Linked DNA regions of Danio rerio. The protein of the gene in region 4 purifies or fractionates together with the protein of the main gene of each other region. This does not show direct contact. Links are inferred from orthologs where the notes say so. Each region holds a gene or a part of one and is shown on either strand. Other genes may lie near its edges.

The links.
Region 1: the proteins of stk24b (region 4) and fgfr1op2 purify together in Homo sapiens (affinity purification with mass spectrometry; 4 studies listed by BioGRID and IntAct, with this or other methods). This does not show direct contact. The link is inferred for Danio rerio from reciprocal best matches to the Homo sapiens genes STK24 and FGFR1OP2.
Region 2: the proteins of stk24b (region 4) and cttnbp2 purify together in Homo sapiens (affinity purification with mass spectrometry; 3 studies listed by BioGRID and IntAct, with this or other methods). This does not show direct contact. The link is inferred for Danio rerio from reciprocal best matches to the Homo sapiens genes STK24 and CTTNBP2.
Region 3: the proteins of stk24b (region 4) and slmapa purify together in Homo sapiens (affinity purification with mass spectrometry; 6 studies listed by BioGRID and IntAct, with this or other methods). This does not show direct contact. The link is inferred for Danio rerio from reciprocal best matches to the Homo sapiens genes STK24 and SLMAP.

Annotation. Positions count from the first base shown.
Region 1 is NC_133179.1:2,052,083-2,056,509, forward strand, and holds part of fgfr1op2 (FGFR1 oncogene partner 2 homolog), read left to right. Parts: coding exon 1-1; intron 2-1,222; coding exon 1,223-1,340; intron 1,341-1,412; coding exon 1,413-1,555; intron 1,556-3,334; coding exon 3,335-3,448; intron 3,449-4,427. UniProt on the Homo sapiens protein: May be involved in wound healing pathway.
Region 2 is NC_133193.1:22,112,565-22,117,349, reverse strand, and holds the end of cttnbp2 (cortactin-binding protein 2), read left to right. Parts: intron 1-2,124; coding exon 2,125-2,370; 3' UTR 2,371-3,252; downstream 3,253-4,785. UniProt on the Homo sapiens protein: Regulates the dendritic spine distribution of CTTN/cortactin in hippocampal neurons, and thus controls dendritic spinogenesis and dendritic spine maintenance.
Region 3 is NC_133186.1:44,671,035-44,676,200, reverse strand, and holds part of slmapa (sarcolemma associated protein a), read left to right. Parts: intron 1-1,404; coding exon 1,405-1,573; intron 1,574-1,722; coding exon 1,723-1,773; intron 1,774-5,166. UniProt on the Homo sapiens protein: Associates with the striatin-interacting phosphatase and kinase (STRIPAK) core complex, forming the extended (SIKE1:SLMAP)STRIPAK complex.
Region 4 is NC_133181.1:13,466,192-13,471,990, forward strand, and holds the start of stk24b (serine/threonine-protein kinase 24), read left to right. Parts: upstream 1-2,357; 5' UTR 2,358-2,948; coding exon 2,949-2,990; intron 2,991-5,799. UniProt on the Homo sapiens protein: Serine/threonine-protein kinase that acts on both serine and threonine residues and promotes apoptosis in response to stress stimuli and caspase activation.

The sequences.
Region 1 (4,427 bases), on a different chromosome or scaffold from region 4:
GGTCAAATACTCTCTTTTACACTGACGTTAAGTTTGTTTTATATTCACACATTTGTTCAGTGATACGGCCTCTGTATTGTTTAACATGCTACACTGAATATTCGGTCAGAAACTGCATGCAAGTATGACTTCAGAACAACATTAGCACTGTTTAATATGATTCAATCTATTTGCAGGTTCACCGTCATCATTTCAGAACAGTATTATTTGCAAACTGTAAATATGGAAATCTTATTATCAGCCAATGATTATCAAAGCACAACACTATTCACAGTTGATCAAATGGTGCTAATGTTGTTTTGAACTCGTACTAATATACGATTTCAGACCGAATATTATAAGTAGTGTAACCCCGCCGGTCCTGCGCCACCCAACCCATTCTAAGCTGGTATCGACCCGGTGACCTTTTGCATGGGAGTCGGTTGCTCTACCAAGGAGGGTAAAGACCATGGCCTCTAGTGTCTGCCGCTAGAGCACCTTTAAGCCCCGTTCACACAGGGCTTCAGCGTCAACGCTTGACTGAAGGCGTGTCTGAAGTTGGGGCTGACGCGATTGTCATAGCAGCGTCAGCCAATGAAATTCAATCAGCAATAGGCCACTGTCTAGCTGGTGTATTTGCATACAGCAATCTGATTGGCTGACGCTTCTGTCAGTGCTTGAAAAGTTGAGCTAGTCCCAACTTCTGCAGCGAGCAACACCTCTGAAACGGCGCCGACGGATCCACAATACAGTTCGGCAACGCCTGACGTCACAGCTCCTACTGGCTGGCCTCCGTTACTACACTCACCCCCCCTAAACCTCACTCCCATCCGGGTCACGGCACCAATGTAACCACACCAGTATTACATCACCCAACCCGCTCCAAGCTAGTATTGAACCGGCGACCTTCCCCAGTCAGTTGCTCTTTCAAGGAGGCTAAAGACCATGGCCTCTAGCGTCTGTCACTAGAGCACCTTTAGAGCTCAGAGGAGTGAGGTTAACCTGCACAGCACCTACTGGCTGGCCTCCATTACAGTAGCATGCTAAAAACAATATAGGGGCTGCAAAAAACAAACAAACATGCAAATATAAAACTAAATATATCTCAGTAATAAACCTAAATCTCTGCTACATTTTGTATGTTTAATCTCAGGCAGTCACAGCTTACCCTAAATTGAATAGTGTATTTGTCGGTGTATCCTTGTTTGTTTATTTTTTGTTCAATCGTTTGTTGTGATCTCAGTATCAGGAAGAGATCGAGGTGTTAAACCAGGTTGCGAGGCATCGGCCACGCTCAACACTAGTCATGGGCATCCAACAGGAAAACCGGCAAATACGGGAACTGCAGCAAGAAAACAAAGGTGTGTGCTTGGTGTTTTTTTTTTTCCTGCATGCTATTTGAGGCCTGTTTTTAAAGCCCAGTCTCTGTGCAGAGCTGCACACGTCTCTGGAGGAGCATCAGTCTGCGCTGGAGCTGATCATGAGCAAATACAGAGAGCAAGTGTTTCGACTTCTGATGGCCAGCAAAAAAGAGGATCCCACCATCGTCACGCAGCTCAGAGAACAGCACACGAACGTCAGTCCCCCACGCACACACTGAAATTCACTATTAAAAAGCTGCTACACAAATAGTCTCAGGAATCATACTGGAAATCCTTGAAAAACTTCAGTTTTTTTAATCTATAGTGTTTTCAAAGGTTTAAAAAGTGCTTAGATTTTAGGTAAAGTGCTTGCAAATGTAATTGTGCCACTTGCATAATAATAAATGGGTAATAATAACTCACTTTAAATGAATTAAAATTAATATTACAAAGAGTAAATCAGTTTTTCGATATTAGGCTCGGTGCAAACATGCCATTTCTTAGAATACCACACTATACTATAACAGAAAGCAGCTGATATAATGTGATTAAAGCCTGCAAATTTGCCACACTTGTGCATGGCTTGAAAATGCAGCTGGAAAAGTGTAATGTAAAACTAGAACCTAAAGTTCATTGATAAACTTTGATGTTGGCTTGAGAAAGTCAAACGTTTATGGCATTGTTACGTGGTTGCTGAGCAGTTGCTAAATGGCAATGCTCGTGTACATGTTTGATCAAATGCTAATACTTAGTAGGCATTTCTAGCATATGTTATTGCATTTAGATAATCATTCATAGCATGTAGCTAATCGTTATAAGCACTTGGCTTCCATTATCATTGTTACCATGCATAGTACACAGGAAGTCCCATTTGCTAGAATGAGTCAAACAAGCCAATGCCCAAGTCTCTACGATGTTCTGATGTAGAGATATTGCTATTTTTAAATGGTTGCTAGGTTATACTGTTTTAATGCTATGGGGACATTTGACAGGTTAGTGATGATACATCAAAGCTTCTTGGCAATATGAGTGATCTTAATCAACCCCGATGTTTCTATGACAGTCTTTATGAGTGTCAAAAACTGGACTTAAACATTATGTATTCCTGGTGTTGGGTTGCGGCTGGAAGGGCATTCGCTGTGTAAAACAAATGCTGGATAAGTTGGCGGTTCATTCCGTTGTGGCGACCCCTGATTAATAAAGGGACTAAGGGAATGAACATTATGTAAAAATGGCTTGCTGTATTTTTTTGAAAATACAACACTTAATAATTGTGAAGGTGATACATGCAAAAATGGCTTGCCATATCAGTAACAAATATGGAGTTTAAGTCAAAAATGGCTTGCCATATTTTGAGAAAAATAATGCTTAAAAATTATTTATTGAAAAACTATAAATCTGATAAACCTTAAAGATATAGCAACAAAATCTAACGCATCTAAATACAGCTTTTGGCCAAATTTGGGGCTTGTATAATTTTTTTATATGCCCGGATTATAAAAATATAATATTTAACATTTTTTATTTAAAAAAAATGATAAGTCTAACAGGCATGAGGAGATATAGCAACAATCTTGAATGCAGAAGGCACATTTAGACCACATTTGGGCCTTGTGGCATGAACGGCCTTGGAGGAGATACGTTTGTTTTCAAGGACAGAGTAGCATAACAGCATGTTGGCTTTCTCAAGCCAACACAATAACGCTCATTTTGTGAATAATTATATACAATTAATCTAAGCTACAAACATTGAATTTATTGTGCACAAATTGGCTTGCAAAGAATATGCACACAATAATATATACATGCAAATAATAAATAATAATAGGTTAAAATCTAAAATGACTCCACTATGATCTGAACTGTAGGCGTCTCGTCATTTATAATGCCAACTGCACACTGCAGATCCTACTTTTGCAGATTCACTCGTTGCAATATCAATGCTGAAACAATATATTGTGTAGGTGTTAACTGTTACGGTGTTTACGTCACAGGAGATGCAAGCGCACATCGAAAAAATCAACGAAATGGCCACGGTGATGAGGAAAGCCATCGAAGTTGATGAAGGACGACTGTGTGAGGATGAGGAGAGAATCAAACGCCTGGAGGTGACACACGCTTCAGTATAAATCACAGTAACTGGAGTGATATGACTAAAAGTTCCCAATATGAGTCGTTTCATTTCACAATAATGAGATTTATGAGATCATAACCACTTGATTATCTGGTAACACTTTAAAATAATGGTCCATTAGTAGATAATGTGTTTACTAACATAAATAAATAATTATTAATGCATTTATTACTGTATTCATTCATCTTTGTCAATGTCAATCAAGGTAAGATCATTAGTGCACTTGTTAACTTTGGATTTTAGTTGTCCATTAGTGAATGTTGAGCTTTTATTAATTAATGCTTTACAAGAGTGTTCATAGTTATGTAATATTAGTAACTGCATTGACTAATAGGCCATTTTTCTGAGGTGTTACCTGATTATCTTATGCAATGTTTATAGAAAAATATTAACTTGATAAATATGACGTGTTTGAGAACGGACACTGTTGTTTAGTATTTATTACTATTTTAGTATAATTGAAATGCTGTTTAATTGTTTGCATTTGGTTTTAGTTTTAGATTGTCTAGCCTTTTTTAGGACGCTCATTAAAATACTCATTGCAAAAACTGAGGGTTATTACAATTAACTTTTATTACGGAAATAAAATGTACAATATAGTTAAAGTTCTTTGCCTGGTTAAAGGCGAGTTTTAATTTTAGTTTTAAATATTCTATATATGTAGTTTTTTTTTGTTTGTTTTAGTGAGTCAAGTTAAAAAAAATTTAATAATCAAAATCATGTATAATAAATTGACTAAAAAGAATATTAAATATTTCTGTTAACCTGCATGTGGTGAAAATTTGAGAACTGTAAACATGTTTGAGTTGCGAAGTCAGAATTAATAATTTTTCTTTTTTTAATATTTCCCAAAAGATATTTAACAGAGCAAGGAAATTTTCACAGTATGTCTGATAATATTTTTTCTTCTGGAGAAAGTCTTATTTGTTTTATTTCGGCTAGAATAAAAGCAG
Region 2 (4,785 bases), on a different chromosome or scaffold from region 4:
ACCAGTAAATGTACGGAAAATTTCCGGGCTGACTTTACCGGTAAATTAAAAAATGCACTGTTCACACAGGCACGGACGTTATGGCATTTTTCTGGAAAAGACCGTTCACACATCTATTCCAAAATACCAGTGAATTCTGACATCATTAATCAGAAATGGCCTCTAAACGACTGCGCTTGTATTTTTAAACATTTGACTACATTACAGATTTTGTGGATGGATAAGTATTGTGAACAACTTCGATGAAAACATATGGAGGAATACTTTCGCATGTCAAGATGTACATAATATGTGCGACTCACCGGCTGCTTCACGTGCACACGCATCAAGCAACTGAAGCAGGCTTATCATAAGTATTTTATTGATAATGTTTTTACACCGTTGGCATTAAGGAACACTGAAACATTATCTGACTAAAATCTAGCAGCTAAATGGATCTGGAAAAATATTCAAAGGCTTTTATTTTCATAAACAGCGCAGATGTGAATGTGCCTGAATGTTCTGATTGGCTAGAGTAGACGTCTCATGTCAGCGCTTTCTAAACATGAACACGCTCTTTCCGGCAATTTTCCTTCTGCGTTCAATCAGTGCAGCATTCCAGCAAATTACCAGTAATGTTACAACTTCTCTCTCTGGAAAATTGCTAGAATTAATTTACCAGTATTTTCAAAAAGGGCCTGTTCACACATACAAAGGTTTTTATGTGTGAAAGGAGCTTTTGTCGCCAACGGTTGTTGTCACTAACGTGGACAGAGGTCGCCTGAAGTCACTCCCTCTTGTTGAAATTAGCGGTCACTTGTCGCTTTGCTGATGCGAGCCGCTCGTAGTGTGAACGCAAGCTTAAGTCTCAGATGTTGTACTCAAAAGTACAAATTGTCATTTTATTGTAAATCAGTGGTTCTCAAACATTTTTCATCAAGTACCACCTTAGAAATAAGTTGTCTTTGCAAGTGCCACCATAATGAGCAGTATTGAAATACAGTAGCGTATTAGGTCCAGTAAAGCAGCTAAAGTGTATGCATATTAGTTCCTATTATTAAGACATTTAAATTTAAATGTGGTTTTAAAAACTAAAAATGGTAACTTACTGTTCTTAAAAAGTAAAATAAAGAAAAAAAATCCTGGTTTATCAGCACCTGGAAATGTTGCCTAGACCTCATAAATATAGGCTTTATGTCATCATATTCATATATTAATCTTTTTTGATAATTTACTTAAATATATGTTGCATGTACATATGACATATTTGATTCATCCGCTTACCACTAGAAGGAAGCCCGCGTACCACTAGTGGTACACGTACCACAGTTTGAGAACCACTGTTGTAAATAGTCAGCATATTTAAATCACAATGTTAGCAACCATTTAAAATGAAAAATCCAGCCAAAATGTTAATTCCTTTTTTACCCATTTATTTTTTAGTTTCTAAGCATTATTACTCTAAACTGTTTTTGTATCTGTATCATTTCCTGTAAAGAAAATTAAGTTTTAATGTTGTAAATTAAGTTTGTGAAAGAGAAATAACTTTTTAGAATTACGTTATAACATTTCTATAAATGTAAATTATTATTTAATCTATACATTTTTTAAAAATATAATTTTCCCATTTAAAATGTGACTCTTCTCCAGTTACATCATGTATGTAAATCCAACATAAAATAAAAGTTGCTATTTTCTAGATTGGTATGGCTCAGAACTATACTCTCTGTCTGGCTTAATAATCAAGAAACTTTGTTGCTGTATTATGGCTCCAGCAGGCACAATGATATTATGTGGCTCCTGAAAATAGTCTCTAGCTAGGTAACAAAGTAACAGTGTTGCGTAATATCATTGCTCCTGCTGCAGCCATGCTACGGCAGCAAAGTTTCCTGATTTTTACGCCAAAATGAGAGTATAGTGCCAATCCATATCGACCTATGGCTCCATCCCATCACTTTTAGCACACCAAGTAACTCAAATGTTTAACTCTGGGAAATTCCACAAATGGAGTGTTCCTCTTACTTAAGCTTTAAAGGAGGCCTAGCTCACTTATTCATTTTAGAACAGAGCGCATATACAATATAAACTACTATACACTCGACTTTTCTTTCTTTTAAAATGTTTTTTGTTCATTGCTTTGAAAAGACTGACAGTGTTCACACTTCTCCTCGGCGAGTGATGAGGCCCAGGTCCCATCTACCTGTCCCGAGCAGCAGAGGATCTCAGCAGATGATCAGCAGCAGCTCTTCCCTTCAGACTCACAGCAGAGCCTCCACCAGCAGCAGCAGAACAAGGCAGCCCCCGTCCAACAACAACACAAACAACCTCTCACAAGACCACATCTGGTTCCTGGACCCCAACTCTAATGAAAACTACAGTACCCACGGATAGACTCCACCCACTGCCCTCCCTGTGCCCTCAGCCTGTCCTCCCCCTCAGTTTTGTGAAGTTAGGTTACTGGCAGCATTTTAGTATTTGTACATGTTGTCCATAATTGTTACACTATATTACATTGTGTACTTTGGGACCATAGTTTTAATATATTCAGCTGTTTAAGAAAAAAGAAAATAAGAGAAAGACTGCTTGAACACTTTACAATTTGCCTTTTAGGTCAAATGTTTTGGATCAAAGTAAGAGCTAGTGGTCTTTTTGCTCTTTAGTATTTTCAATCAACTGTGTATTACGTTTAAATAAGTGAAAGGTGAGTTTTAAAAACTGTCGAAATCAGGGTTTTACCAAATATGTGTAAATAAGAACCGGGAACTTAAATGTTGTATAGATTATAGTGTGTGTGAGTGTGTGTGTGTGCGCGTGTGCGTGTGATTTTTGTGCTTGTACATTGGAGGAATTTTGAAGGGAAAATGAGAACTGTATATATCGTTTGTAATATTAAATTTGGGTTCATATTTTTTCACTTGTTTCCAAATGAACTGAATGTGGCAATAAGTACCGCCATCGCGAACACAGGATATTTCATTTTTGTCCGTTAAGCCATAATTATTAGTATTTTCAATTGCTCTCACGCGTGCTCGGTTACTTACGTCGTGAAGCCTGACTAATTGGAAGCGGCGCGCATTTAAACATTTTCGTTTGTCTCCTGTATTGAACACTTAGGATAATCAAGTATTCTTTTCAAGTCAGTATTGTTCATATGTACAGAAGAGATTATAGTTGACCTCTGATGTTTAACTGTATTATAGTTGTCGGACGAGGTTCAGAGAAATTGTCCTGTTTCCTCCAAGCACAACGATTAAAAATGCACTACTCTAGAAATCACCTCAGCTCTTGGGTTTTCTTTATACACGCAGCTAATGCTAACATTGTCCAAGACATCACTTCAGCTTTATACACACAGCTCCAGCTAACATAGTTTGTAGTTGATGCTAACCTTATCATAAATCCCCTTACCCCTTGGGATTTCTTTTAACAACAGCTAATGCTAACATATATTGTCCAATAAATTGCTTCAGCTTCTTGGTTTTCATTTTCCACATAGCTAATGCTAAATTCATCCTATAAAATCCCCTCAGCTTTTTGGTTTTCCTTCACCACACAGCTGATGTTAGCATTGTGTTTGCAGCTAATGCTAGTTATAAACATTGCCATATATTGGGGTTTCTTTTTTCACACTGCTAACATTGTGTTTATACAGTGCCTGAGATTTCTATGCTAACATATCCCTGCTGAAAAATCCAGCTTAAACCTGCCTAGGCTGGTTGGCTGGTTTTAGCTGTTTGACGAGGCTGGTTTTAGAGAGGTTTTGGCCATTTCCAGGCTGGTTTAAGCTGGACATAGCTGGTTTTGGCTGAGCTCCCAGCCTGGCTAAGCTGGTTTTAGCTGGTCATCTCCCAGCCTGACCAGCTAAGACCAGGCTGGAACTGGCCAAAACCCCTCTAAAACCAGCCTGGTCGACCAGCTTAAACCCCCCCCCAACCAGCCTATGCTGGTTTAAGCTGTTTTTTTCAGCAGGGATTGTGTTTGCAGCTAATGCTAGAACTTTATCAGCTCTTGGGTTAGCTAACATTTCAAATGCTATTGTTAGCATTGTCAAACAAACTCACAGCTCTTGGATTTTCTTTTTACACACAGCTAATGCTAACATCCAAGACATCACTTCAACTTTTTTTTCTTTTTCCACACAGCTCATGCTAATATAGTATTTGTCATTATTGCTAACATTGTCATTAAGCACTTTAGCTCTTGGGATTTGTTTAATAACATTTAAGGATAATATTGTCCAAAAAGTCCCTGCTGAAAAAAAAACAAGGGGTTTGGCTATTTCCAGCCTGGTCTTAGCTGGTCAGGCTGGAAAATAAGCTTGACCAGGTGGGATCACTTCAGCTGCTGGGTTTTCATTCTCCTAATGCTAAAATTCTCTATATCATCCAATAAATCCGCTTTTTGGTTTTCCTTCACCACACAGTCGATTTTAACATGCAGCTAAGTTATAAACATTCCCATATCTTGGGGTTTCTTTCAGCTATTGTTAACATTGTGTTTATGTAAGATATCACCTCCTGAGATTTCTTTCTACAAACAACTAACGAATGCTAACATTGTGTTTGCAGCTAATGCTAGTTCTACTTTGCATCAGCTCTTGGATTAGTTAACATGTGATCCTAATTTTAGCATTGTTATAAATCACCTTCTTGGGGTTTCTTTTAACAACCGCTAATGCTAACATATTGTCCACAAAATCACTGCCGGGTTTTCACAAAATTAGCTGCCGGGTTTTCATTCTCCACAAAGCTAATGCTAAAATCATCCTATAAATCCCCTCAGCTTTTTGGTTTTCCTTCACCACAC
Region 3 (5,166 bases), on a different chromosome or scaffold from region 4:
TAATCGTGAACATGATGTCAAGTCTACACGGTGTAAACATCTGCTTGAGGACTCTTAACAGTAAACTAAATGAAGCCTGTGTTTTGGTTTATCTTGTGTCCGTGTTAACTGAGGCCCCTTTTCAGATGTGCAAACTAATGTTATCTACTATTTCAGATAGGCAGATTCGTCACTTTTTCACAGCAACAAAACATGCCCATTCCGAATAAAGAGTCTTATTACTTGTCAGTGTAAACATTATTGATTTTAATGTTTGTGTAGCAGAACAGTATATAACCAAAATGAATGTAATCATTATAGTTGACATGTCATCAACGGGATTCGAACCCAAGTCAAAAGGTTCTGCACGAGCATCAACCGACTTCTCTATCTAAGCTACTCGCGTCTACAGGTTGAGATCGGTTTTCCGTGTTTACATTTTTTCCATGTACCTGCATTTACATGTTTCTACACACTCTCATGCTGATATTTTCTCAGAATAGCTCTAATATGTTTTATCGCAGTTAGTCAAGCCATGATTTTTATAGTTGAAGACTTGTGGAAACCTGTCTACAAAGTCACACACGAGCTGGATATTATAGGGTATATGCCGAGCTAGTGCTGTTCCCATGCTGATACACTTCCGGTGACCTGTTATTGTGAACTTTTTTTCCATTTTATACGGTTCCTTATACAGCATCGATGTTGTAATGTCATTAAAATACATTCAGTTAAATAAACTTTAGCATTTATGTGGTTGCTCAAGCGTAAAACGAGACAAAAAGCTGTTTACTCGCACGCGCCCGTCAGAATCGGCAGGCTAACGCAGAAGCTCTGAATATACTGGGGTAAAATAAATGCTCATATTATAAAGATATGGCGGGGGAGATGTAATTTAATGCAGTGCTTCTTGTACAATCTGAGACCCACTTTAAATCGGATACCACTCAGCTAGTGGAGATCGTTCATTTTTAAAGAAAACAGACCTTAAACGCACCGGATTTTGCATTTGCATTCAATTCGCCGGAAACGCTTAACCCAGGTTACTAGCAAATTAAAAATCCTATTAGCATGCTTCGGCATATACCCCATTGATATTTTCTAGTGTGTGTGTTACATTCCGGGTCACTTCCGGTGTGTGGTACATTCCCTTTCCGTAAGAAATCTGTAATTGTAAATTTGTTTCGGGACTTGTAAAAGTGTTTTGCGTCTTGTTAGTTTGTTTTCTAAATTGTAAATTTGTTTCGTCCTTGGTAAAATTGTTTTTCCTCTGTAATTGTGTCTGATGACAGGTAAAAATGTTTTTCAAAATGTAAATTTGTCTCGAGCTTTGTAAAAGTGTTTCAAACTTTGTAATGTTGTTGTGCACTTCTCGGCCACCGTAGTTATCAAGCATAGTTACACATTACAATTTACTTCGTTCAGTTGGCGGAGGATAAACATGAGGAGCTCACACAGAAAGGCCTGAACGAGAAGAAGGAGCTGCAGATGCGGATCGAGGAGATGGAGGAGAAGGAGCAGGCGCTTCAGGCCCGAATCGAAGCTCTGCAGGCTGACAACGACTTCACCAATGAGAGACTGACAGCTTTGCAAGGTAAAACACGATGTCTGTTGTTGCTCGCGCTGGCTTGAAAACGCACACTTTCGTTTCTTGGTAACTACAAGGATGAGTGAGGTTGAGGAGGAGCATCTTTCAGCTTTTAATTTCTGGTCATCCCGAATGTTCTCGTTGTCACTTTGCAGTTCGGTTAGAGCAGCTGCAGGAGAAAAGCATAAAGGAAAACAACAGTTTAGGTGAGTTGGCGACGCATGTGTCTGCTAGTGTGCTGCTAACCTCGCATCTCCTCTGACTAATTCAGCATGGGAGCTCGCCTTCGGTTGCCTTGTTTTTCACCTTTATTTCTGTCCCTTCTTCTTTCTTTCTGTCTGGCTTTGCTTCTGTTTTGACCTGTTCTGTCTCGAAGGCCTTGATCTTCTGCATTGAGCATGTGTGTTTAAGTTTACACCACTGCATACAGTCTAGGAATGATATTTAAAGGGAACCCAGGGTATTAAAGGAGTGATGGTTCAGCTAAAAATGTGATTTTCTCACTATTTACTCATCCTTATGTGGTTTAAGAGTTTATGTTGTTCTGTTAAGCACAATAGAACGTATTTGGAAGAAACTGACAACCTGTAACCATTGACTTTCATACAACCCAAAATCAGAAAAGTTAGGACAGTACGTAAACCGAACATAAAGGAAGTGATTTCTAGATTTACTTTGACTTGTGTTGCAGACGATTTAACAAACATTATTTATTGTGTTCCTTATGATTTTCTTAGTTTTTTTTTCTTCTTTTAAAATAAACATTCCAATTCTGGTTCTTGCAACACATTTTACCTTTACCTAATTGTTACTCGTGTGAATAAGCACTGATTTGCCTGGGATTTCAGGCATTTGTCAGTGATTTCTCAACCTGCTGGCGATTCAAAATCAATGCAGTCTGAACTCAGCATTAAGCTTGCACTCTTGTCCTTTATCCACTGAAATTCCTTCAGACCCCTTGAATCTTTTAATTATGTTAGGCACTGTTGAAGGTGAAATATCTTAATGTCTTCCTATGTTTCTTTGAGGAACATTGTTTTTCATTCATTCATTCATTTTCTTGTCGGCTTAGTCGCTTTATTAATCCGGGGTCGCCACAGCAGAATGAACCGCCAACTTATCCAGCAAGTTTTTAAATCAGCGCATGCCCTTCCAGCCGCAACCCATCTCTGGGAAACATCCACACACACATTCACACACACACTCATACACTACGGGGAATTTAGCCAACCCAATTCACCTGTACCGCATGTCTTTGGACTGTGGGGGAAAACGGAGCACCCGGAGGGAACCCACGCGAAGGCAGGAAAAACATGCAAACTCCACACAGAAACCCCAACTGAGCCGAGGTTTGAGCCAGCGACCTTCTTGCTGTGAGGCGACAGCACTACCTACTGCGCCACTGCCTCGCCTACATTGTTTTTCAATGTTTCAGTTTTATCAAGTGTTTGTTGGCAAACTGGCGATCCTCGGCCCATCTTTGCTCCTAAAGCACTGGACCTTTATTGGATGCTACTTTTGTACCAAACAATAATTACAATCACCTGTTTCAGATCACATCATTAATCCAATTTACCTGATTACTAGACCTAAATTGCTCCTGTCGTAATTTTTTTGAAATGTGTTGCAAGAGTTAAGATTGAAATGCATGTTTATTTTAGAAAAAAAAACAATAAAAATCACACATTAAATAATGTTTATCATGTTGTCAGCATTGAAATACAAGCCAAAGTAAATTTAGAAATCATTAGCATATTCCATACTCTGCCAACCTTTTTTGATTTGGGGTTGTAAAACATACTATGGGAGTCAAATGTTTGCAGGTTTCCAGCTTTCTTCAGAACATCTTCTCTTATGTTTAACAGAATAATGTCAAATAGGTTTTACAGAGGCAGAGAATGAGTAAACAATGGCAGAATTTTAATTTTTGTGTGAACTGTTCTTTTAAGGAATACAAGCCTTAATACCCAGGACTCTCTACAAATTTGTCTCTCCCCATTTGGTCGTTTGTCACCAAGTTTTCCCTGTGAGCTTTTTTCACTTAGTATATATGAAGAAAGGTGTCTCTAAATCAGTTTTGCTGTCAACTGGTTGGCCTTTTTAGTTAGTTATTCTAGATGCTTTCAGGACTTTGACTCATTTTAATCTGCTACGTTGCTAATAATTGATTTAATGTCATTAGTCAGTGTTTAATTAGGCTTGGCACTAAACTCTGCCGGATTATCCATTGTGTCTTTTGTGGTTAGCACACAGCAGGGCATTACGCTTTGAAATGGAGCTCAAGAATTGCTTGGTGATTTATATTTCTCATGCAATAATATAAGAAGCAGCATCTCAGAAATGAAACTACTGATGTGGTGTGCCACACACCACAAACCTCCTGGCAGAAACACACCTCTCTCTGAGCATTTCTTTTTATAGTTGATTTTTATAAAATCTGCTGATATCAAGAATTATTAGGATAGAGTAAATGTGTTTTTTCCCAGTAAGAACTTTGTAGAGAAAATCAGCCTGTGCAAATCTGACACTGACTGAAAATTAAGACTTTTCTTTTATTTGGTGCCAGTATTTGTGCTTTTTAACCACCAGGGATGTGCATGTCAGTAAGATTTTTTACTGTAAGGCATAGTTGTACGCTACCTGACAAAAGTCTTGTTGTAGAAGCAACAATAATAACTTGACTTCTAGTTGATCATTTGGAAAAGTGGCAGAAAGTGGATTTTTTCAGATGAATCATCTGTTGATCTGCATCCCAATCATCACAAATACTGCAGAAGACCTACTGGAACCCACATGTACCCAAGATTCTCATAGAAATCAGTCAAGTTTGGTGAAGGAAAAATCATGGTTTGGGGTTATATTCAGTATGGGTGTGTGCGAGAGATCTGCAACATCAACAGCGTGAGGTATCAAGACATCTGTGCTGCCCATTACATTACAAACCACAGGAGAGGGACAATTCTCCAGCAGGATAGCGCTCCTTCTCATACTTCAGCCTCCACATCAAAGCTCCTGAAAGCAAAGGTCAAGGTGCTCCAGGATTGGCCAGACCAGTCACCAGACATGAACATTATTAAGCATGTCTGGGGTAAGATGGAGATTAAAAATGAACCCAACGACTCTTGATGAACTCTGGGAGTCCTGCAGGAATGCTTTCTTCACCATTCCAGATGACTTTATTAATCAGTGATTTGAGTCAGTGCAGAGTATGGATGCAGTCCTCCAAGCTCATGATGGAGTCAGACACAATATTCATTCTGTCTCCACTGCAGCAGGACTTTATATTCTATACTGGACATTATTTCTGTTCAGACACAAGACTTTTGTCTAAGCAAAGTCGGACCTTACTGTCCTGATGAAATATTTAAAAATCAAGGCATGATCATATTTTATTGTGGTCAAATAAGCGTCATCTAGAGGCCTTTGCCTTTCATATAAGCCACTTCTGACCCCAAATGATCAACTAGATGTCAAGTTATTATTTGTTGCTCCTAAAACTTGGATAGCCGACCAGATTTTTGTCAGGTAGTTGTATTGAGAGGTAACTGTTATAGTATTCAGCCTGATGGGAAAAACTTTCTCGGATGAATATTAGTTTT
Region 4 (5,799 bases):
TATGCTGGATAAGTTGGTGGTTCATTATGCTGTGGCAACCCCAGATTAATAAAGGACTACGCTGAAAAGTAAATGAATGAATGTATATTCATTTAATTTAATATTAACCTCACTTAATGAGAATGGTGAGCAGTGGGCACAATGTACAGCACAAGACTATTCTTGGTATAATTTTGGAGACCGCTACTTGGAGATCTTAGTTTAGTTTAGTTTATTTGTTTACAGGGTCAATGCACATTAATAAACATTACTGTAAAATGTGCCAGAATTAGCCAAGAATGGCTATTTTTCATCCGTAGACCCCTTAAAGAATGTTAAAAAGTCACACCTAAAATAGAAGCACAACAATAAACATTAAATAATCTTCCTCCATGTTCAGTCGTGGGCTTTATTTTTAATGTATGTAAAGGTGTTAAAGTTAAACATTGTGCCGTAAAATCAATCTTCTGCAACTAACGCTATTGCTGTGACATTAATCTAGCATAATAACCCCAGGGGTCGCAATCCAATGGAAAACATGTAAAGGCCAATGGCTTTTTATTTACATGTTGTTGATTTATGTTGTTTTATAAATATATTCGAAGTTATTTTTATCTTCTGTAGGTTATCAATAAAATACAGTTATTCTGATAATTTAATAACATATAAACTCTCCCCATTTTTTTGCGACCCCCACTTTGGGAACCACTTAGGCACATGTGTCATGCTCAGTTCCTGGAGGGCCGCAGCGCTGCACAGTTTAGTTCCAGCCCCAATGAAACACTCCTGAACAAACTAATTGAGTCCTTTAGGTCTGTTTGATACCTACAGATAGCAGGCCCGTAGACAGAGGGGGTTCGAGTGGTCCAGAGACCCCACCCCCCTACCACTGCTGATAAAAGGTCCAGTATTGGCCCAAACATGAGCTCACTTGTCTTATTTTGACTGCTATGCCATCATAAAGTATGAAAATAACCCATCAAAGAAGGCTTCCAATAAATCTAAACAATCATTTTACACGATTCCAACATCCAGCTGTGCAAGAAAACTTGTTGAAAGTGAAGTCAACTTTTAATCTGAATCTTGGACCTTATTCTTGAAAGAAAAAAGTCAAATAAAAAGGTTTGAAGCACCAAAAGCGGCCCATGTTAAAGTAAATTTTTATACTAAATAGGCTATTTTTGTTATCCATGAACTTTCAAAAAGTTAAGCTCCATTCATTCATTTTCTTTTCAGCTTAATCCCTTTATTAATCTGGGGTCGCCACAGCAGAATGAACCGCCAACTTATCCAGCATATGTTTTACGCAGCAGATGCCCTTCCAGCTGCAACCCATCTCTGGGAAACATCCATACACACTCATTCACACTCATACTACGGACAATTTAGCCTACCCAATTCGCCTGTACTGCATGTTTTTGGACAGTGGGAGAAACCGGAGCACCCGGAGTAAACCCATGCAAACGCAGGGAGAACATGCAAACTCCACACAGAAATGCCAACTGACCCAGTCGAGGCTCGAACCAGCGACCTTCTTGCCGTGAGGCGGCAGCACTACCTACTGCGCCACTGTGTCGCTGTTAAGTACTACATTATCAATATTATTGTTTTATTTTTTTTTATCATTTAGAAGGACAAATTCTAACCAAGGAAAGTTGAATGAGCTGGCCAGTTTGTTATTGCCCATTAAATAACAATAGGCTCCTGTTTTTTTTTTTTTTTTCATTTAAATCTTTAACTTGAACTCAATTTCTTTAAATATTAATCTGATATAATAAATTAGCATTTTTAAATAAGTATTTTTTCATATTTCTTCATTCTATATATTTAGCAAACGCTTTTCGTACCTCAAAAGTGTGGTTATGGTGACCCCCTGACAAGCTAATCCAGCTAAAAATAGTGCTTAATATGTCACAAAAATACAGTATTCAAATTTCATTAATAAATATATAACAAGACAAATAGTTGCAAAAAGCTCAACTGCTTAAGAAAAAAACAACCACCTGGCCTGGATAGGTGTGTTCAAGCAGGGCTGGAACTTGTGCTGCGGCCCTCCAGTTGAGTTTGACTCCACAGGTTTAAGGAAAATGCAAACACAAAAAGTGCAAAAAATTCAAGTATTTTTTTGTTCTATTTACAACATTAACAAAAGTTTTTTGTCTATATATTTTTTCAATATAATTGTTATAGTGATAAAAAGACAAGTGAACTCACTTGACATTAAGCTTGTATGAATTGCTGACTGCATGTGCTCTCTACCATGATTAGAGTTTCAAACTCCTCCTCTCTTCTACCGGGGCGGGACCTCACGGGTCCGGATCCGCCCTGATGTCCCGATGACAGCACGGACAAGATGGCGGCCAGCTGGGAAGTGAAGTGAGGATGTCAACATCATTTCTTCAGTTTAAACAAGTCGGGATTTTCACCAGCCATCCCTTCAAAGACTCCTCGATATAGTTCATGATCCGTGCATCTGCTTCAGGAGGCAAAACCGGGGCATTTTTACCCAAACGCGCGCATGTTTCTGCGCTATGTTTTGGAAATCCGTTTGCGCAAAGAGGACCATCAACTCTTGACGAGCGATCTGGCCTGCGTGAACCTCCAAAACCCACTCCAGGAGTCCTCAAAAGAGCGTTCCCGCCTCAGATCGCGCGCTTCATCGACTGAAACTCTGCGATCAGTCGGATCGACGCTGTTTTGATTGCTGTTTGCGGTGATTTCCGCGAGGAAGAGCGGCGGTTCTCATTAAAGCTGCGGAAGTGGAGGAGAGCTTTTCACGCCAGTCATCTTTCACATGCACTTTCTGTCCCTCCGTGGATGCTCTTTACGCCATTATCCAGTTTTAAAAGATCCGAGACCGCATTAAAACTCGGGCACACGGGATACAGGGGTGCATTAGCTGTATCTTGTCCGGAAACAGTATTTTTTTTGCTGACTTGCTGGCCAGTTTTAGTGGTTAAAGTGACGCCATGGCTCATTCTCCAGTGCAGGGCAGTCTGCCTGGGATGCAGGTAAAGATACACTCAGCATCATTTCTACTATTTTGTGAATCGTTTACACTTTAACACTACGTACGTGTGTGAGTTTCTTAATGTCTGTAAAGAGTTCCTACTTTCTGATAAGTTGCAAAATAGCCAAAATGGGGTTGACTGCCTTTGAAAGTGTTAAAAGGTCCAATTTTGTATAAAACAAAACGTTTTGGATTAGAAACGAATTAAGGGTATAGTTGGTTTTATAATCACAAATTTGGACTTTCTTCTTAATAATAAAATTTCTGAAAAAGTATTTTCTAATTCTAAAAGGGCAAATCATATTAGCAGTTTAAAAACAACATCGTTTAAAGTAAAAAAAAAAAAATAGTGCTAATGCTGGTTTGAAGTCATGCTTCTGATTACAGACAGAATATATTTAAAGTAATATGGTAAACAATATAGGGACTATGTTACAAGTTGTCACAGAACAAATGTGCGATTATAAAACCAACTTTACTTTCGCACATTTAGACTTTCTCCTTGATAATATCATTTCTGAAATGTATTACTTGCGAATTCTATATAGTGAAATAATATTAGCCGCCAAAGACTATCAAAGTACAACATTGTTCACAATAGGGTTGCACGGTTTAGTATCGCGATACTATGGCTCCAAAATACTGGCGGTGCCACTGTAGTTTGTTAACGATAATATCGCCATTAATGGTTTATCTACAATAGATAATGTTGCAAGTGGTAAAGTCATTAAAATGCACACACGCTTGTGCAACAAAAAACATTTTATTTTAATAGTCTGTGGAGGCCATTGAGGTTGCAAAACTGTGTAGAATTTGCGCTTTTATGGTAACCCATTTCACGATTTCTAATGCTTTAGTTCGAACTCGCATCTGAAAAGGTACATTTCTGTTCTTGTTTATATGATTTAGTAGCTACAACAACTGTGACAACCTCTTCAAACAAACGACTCACAAAGTGAAAATTTTAAGTACTTTGGCTTGTTACCTGATAAGACTGAAAAAAAATAGATGAAAAACCCAAAGTAGTAACTGGAAACATTGAAATTTTTGATCACTTCCTGTAGCCTAATTTTGTTGGGGGAAAATGCTCTTTTATAACAAATTTCATTTGGTATAATTTGTAACTTTAGTGTATTTTTTTGTTGGTCAGTTATCTACAAAATAAACAAAAATAATGAGTAAATTTTAGGTGAAGTGAGGTGCAAATAATACTTTCTGGCCTTAAGGGAATTATGAATTAAATTCAAGTAGGCCGACTATAACATAAAATATAGCATTTCTGACCATTTTCTTTATAATTTGAGTTATGAATTACAGTATCGGAATACTACTTGTTGGTATTGTGATACTTTAGCTGGTAAAGTATTGTGAGATTAATTAATAGTATCGTGACAACCGTAGTTCACAGTGAATTAAGCAGTGCTAATGTTGTTGTGAAGTCAAACTTGAATGCAACTTCAGGCCAAATATTCAAATTAGCGTAGTAAACAATATAGGCACTGTTAAAATAAATGAATATGTGCATATACAACCAACTTTACCTCGATAAGAAGCAATAGAAACTTGCCATACACACAGGAACAGTTTGAGGACAAAAGCATGTCAAATGTTCTGAATTATTGACTGCGGTTTGATGAATTTTTAGAAAATATACCACCTCGGGGGCATTATTTTCTAATAATTCAACTGCTCATCATTGGTTATTCGCTAAAATGTTAATACATTAATTCATTATTACCTTTTTTAGAACCAACTTTAACATAAACCTTTCTACTATCTAGCTATTCACTTTTGTGGACGACTGGGGGTTCCTCAAAGCCTTTGGTTGACTTGAGTTGGCTTGATTAGGTTCGATTTTAAAATATTAATGCGAAAACACATCAAACATTATGGTTAACAGAAGAAGCCCTACATCCTTCATCATCATCTAAGCCTGGAAGTCAACAATTTAGAAAGCATGCCCATTAAATATTAAAATCTTGATGTTGTTGTTCTCTGGAGAGCATTAGCACCACTGTAACCTTTCTGGGACGTCCTTTATGAAGCTGAAGTCATCCAAGATCATGCATGAAGATCCAAGAATGAAAGGAAGTCGTGAAGTGGAAGGGTAGACACAAAAGGAAAGAGTGTTGTTAGAGAGATGTCTCCAGAGACAAGCCATCAGAACTGGGTCACTTGGTTTGGTCTCTATATATGCCGGGCCATATGACTGGTTTGCCCTCAGGATGTTCGAGCAATCTGCCATCCCAAGTACAAAAAAAATTCAGTTCATCTTCATCCTAAATGAACGTTGCAGGAGCCATTGTTGGCTGAGGATCTCCACCTTTAAGGAGGTCTTCAAAATCAGAGATTAAGTATGAGAAAAAGAAAAGCTGAATTACGTTGGAGGTCTGGAAGCTTAATGATGGAATAAGCATTATTTCTAGTAATGGGAGAAACGAAGCTTTTCAGGCCATCAAAACAATTGAACCAATTGCTTTGCAAAATAAATAGAAGTTAACACAAGCTATGTACACCTGGTGGTCAAATTGTGTAAATGCAGGCAAATATGGATCAGAAATGTTTTTTTTTTTCAAACTAAATATTGCAAACTTTAAATTGAATATATAATATTTAAATGCACTTGGCTGGTCACAAAATAGTATTATTAAGTGTCTGCAGAGTATGCATTCCTTAATACATTTTCAAGGCTTATATATATAGTTTTTTCTATGATGGGTTATGTTAAACAGGACACAAGACTATTAATTAATATTATTCCTTTTCATTTTACAAATGTCTCACTAAAATAAGCTAGTAAAACTGATCCA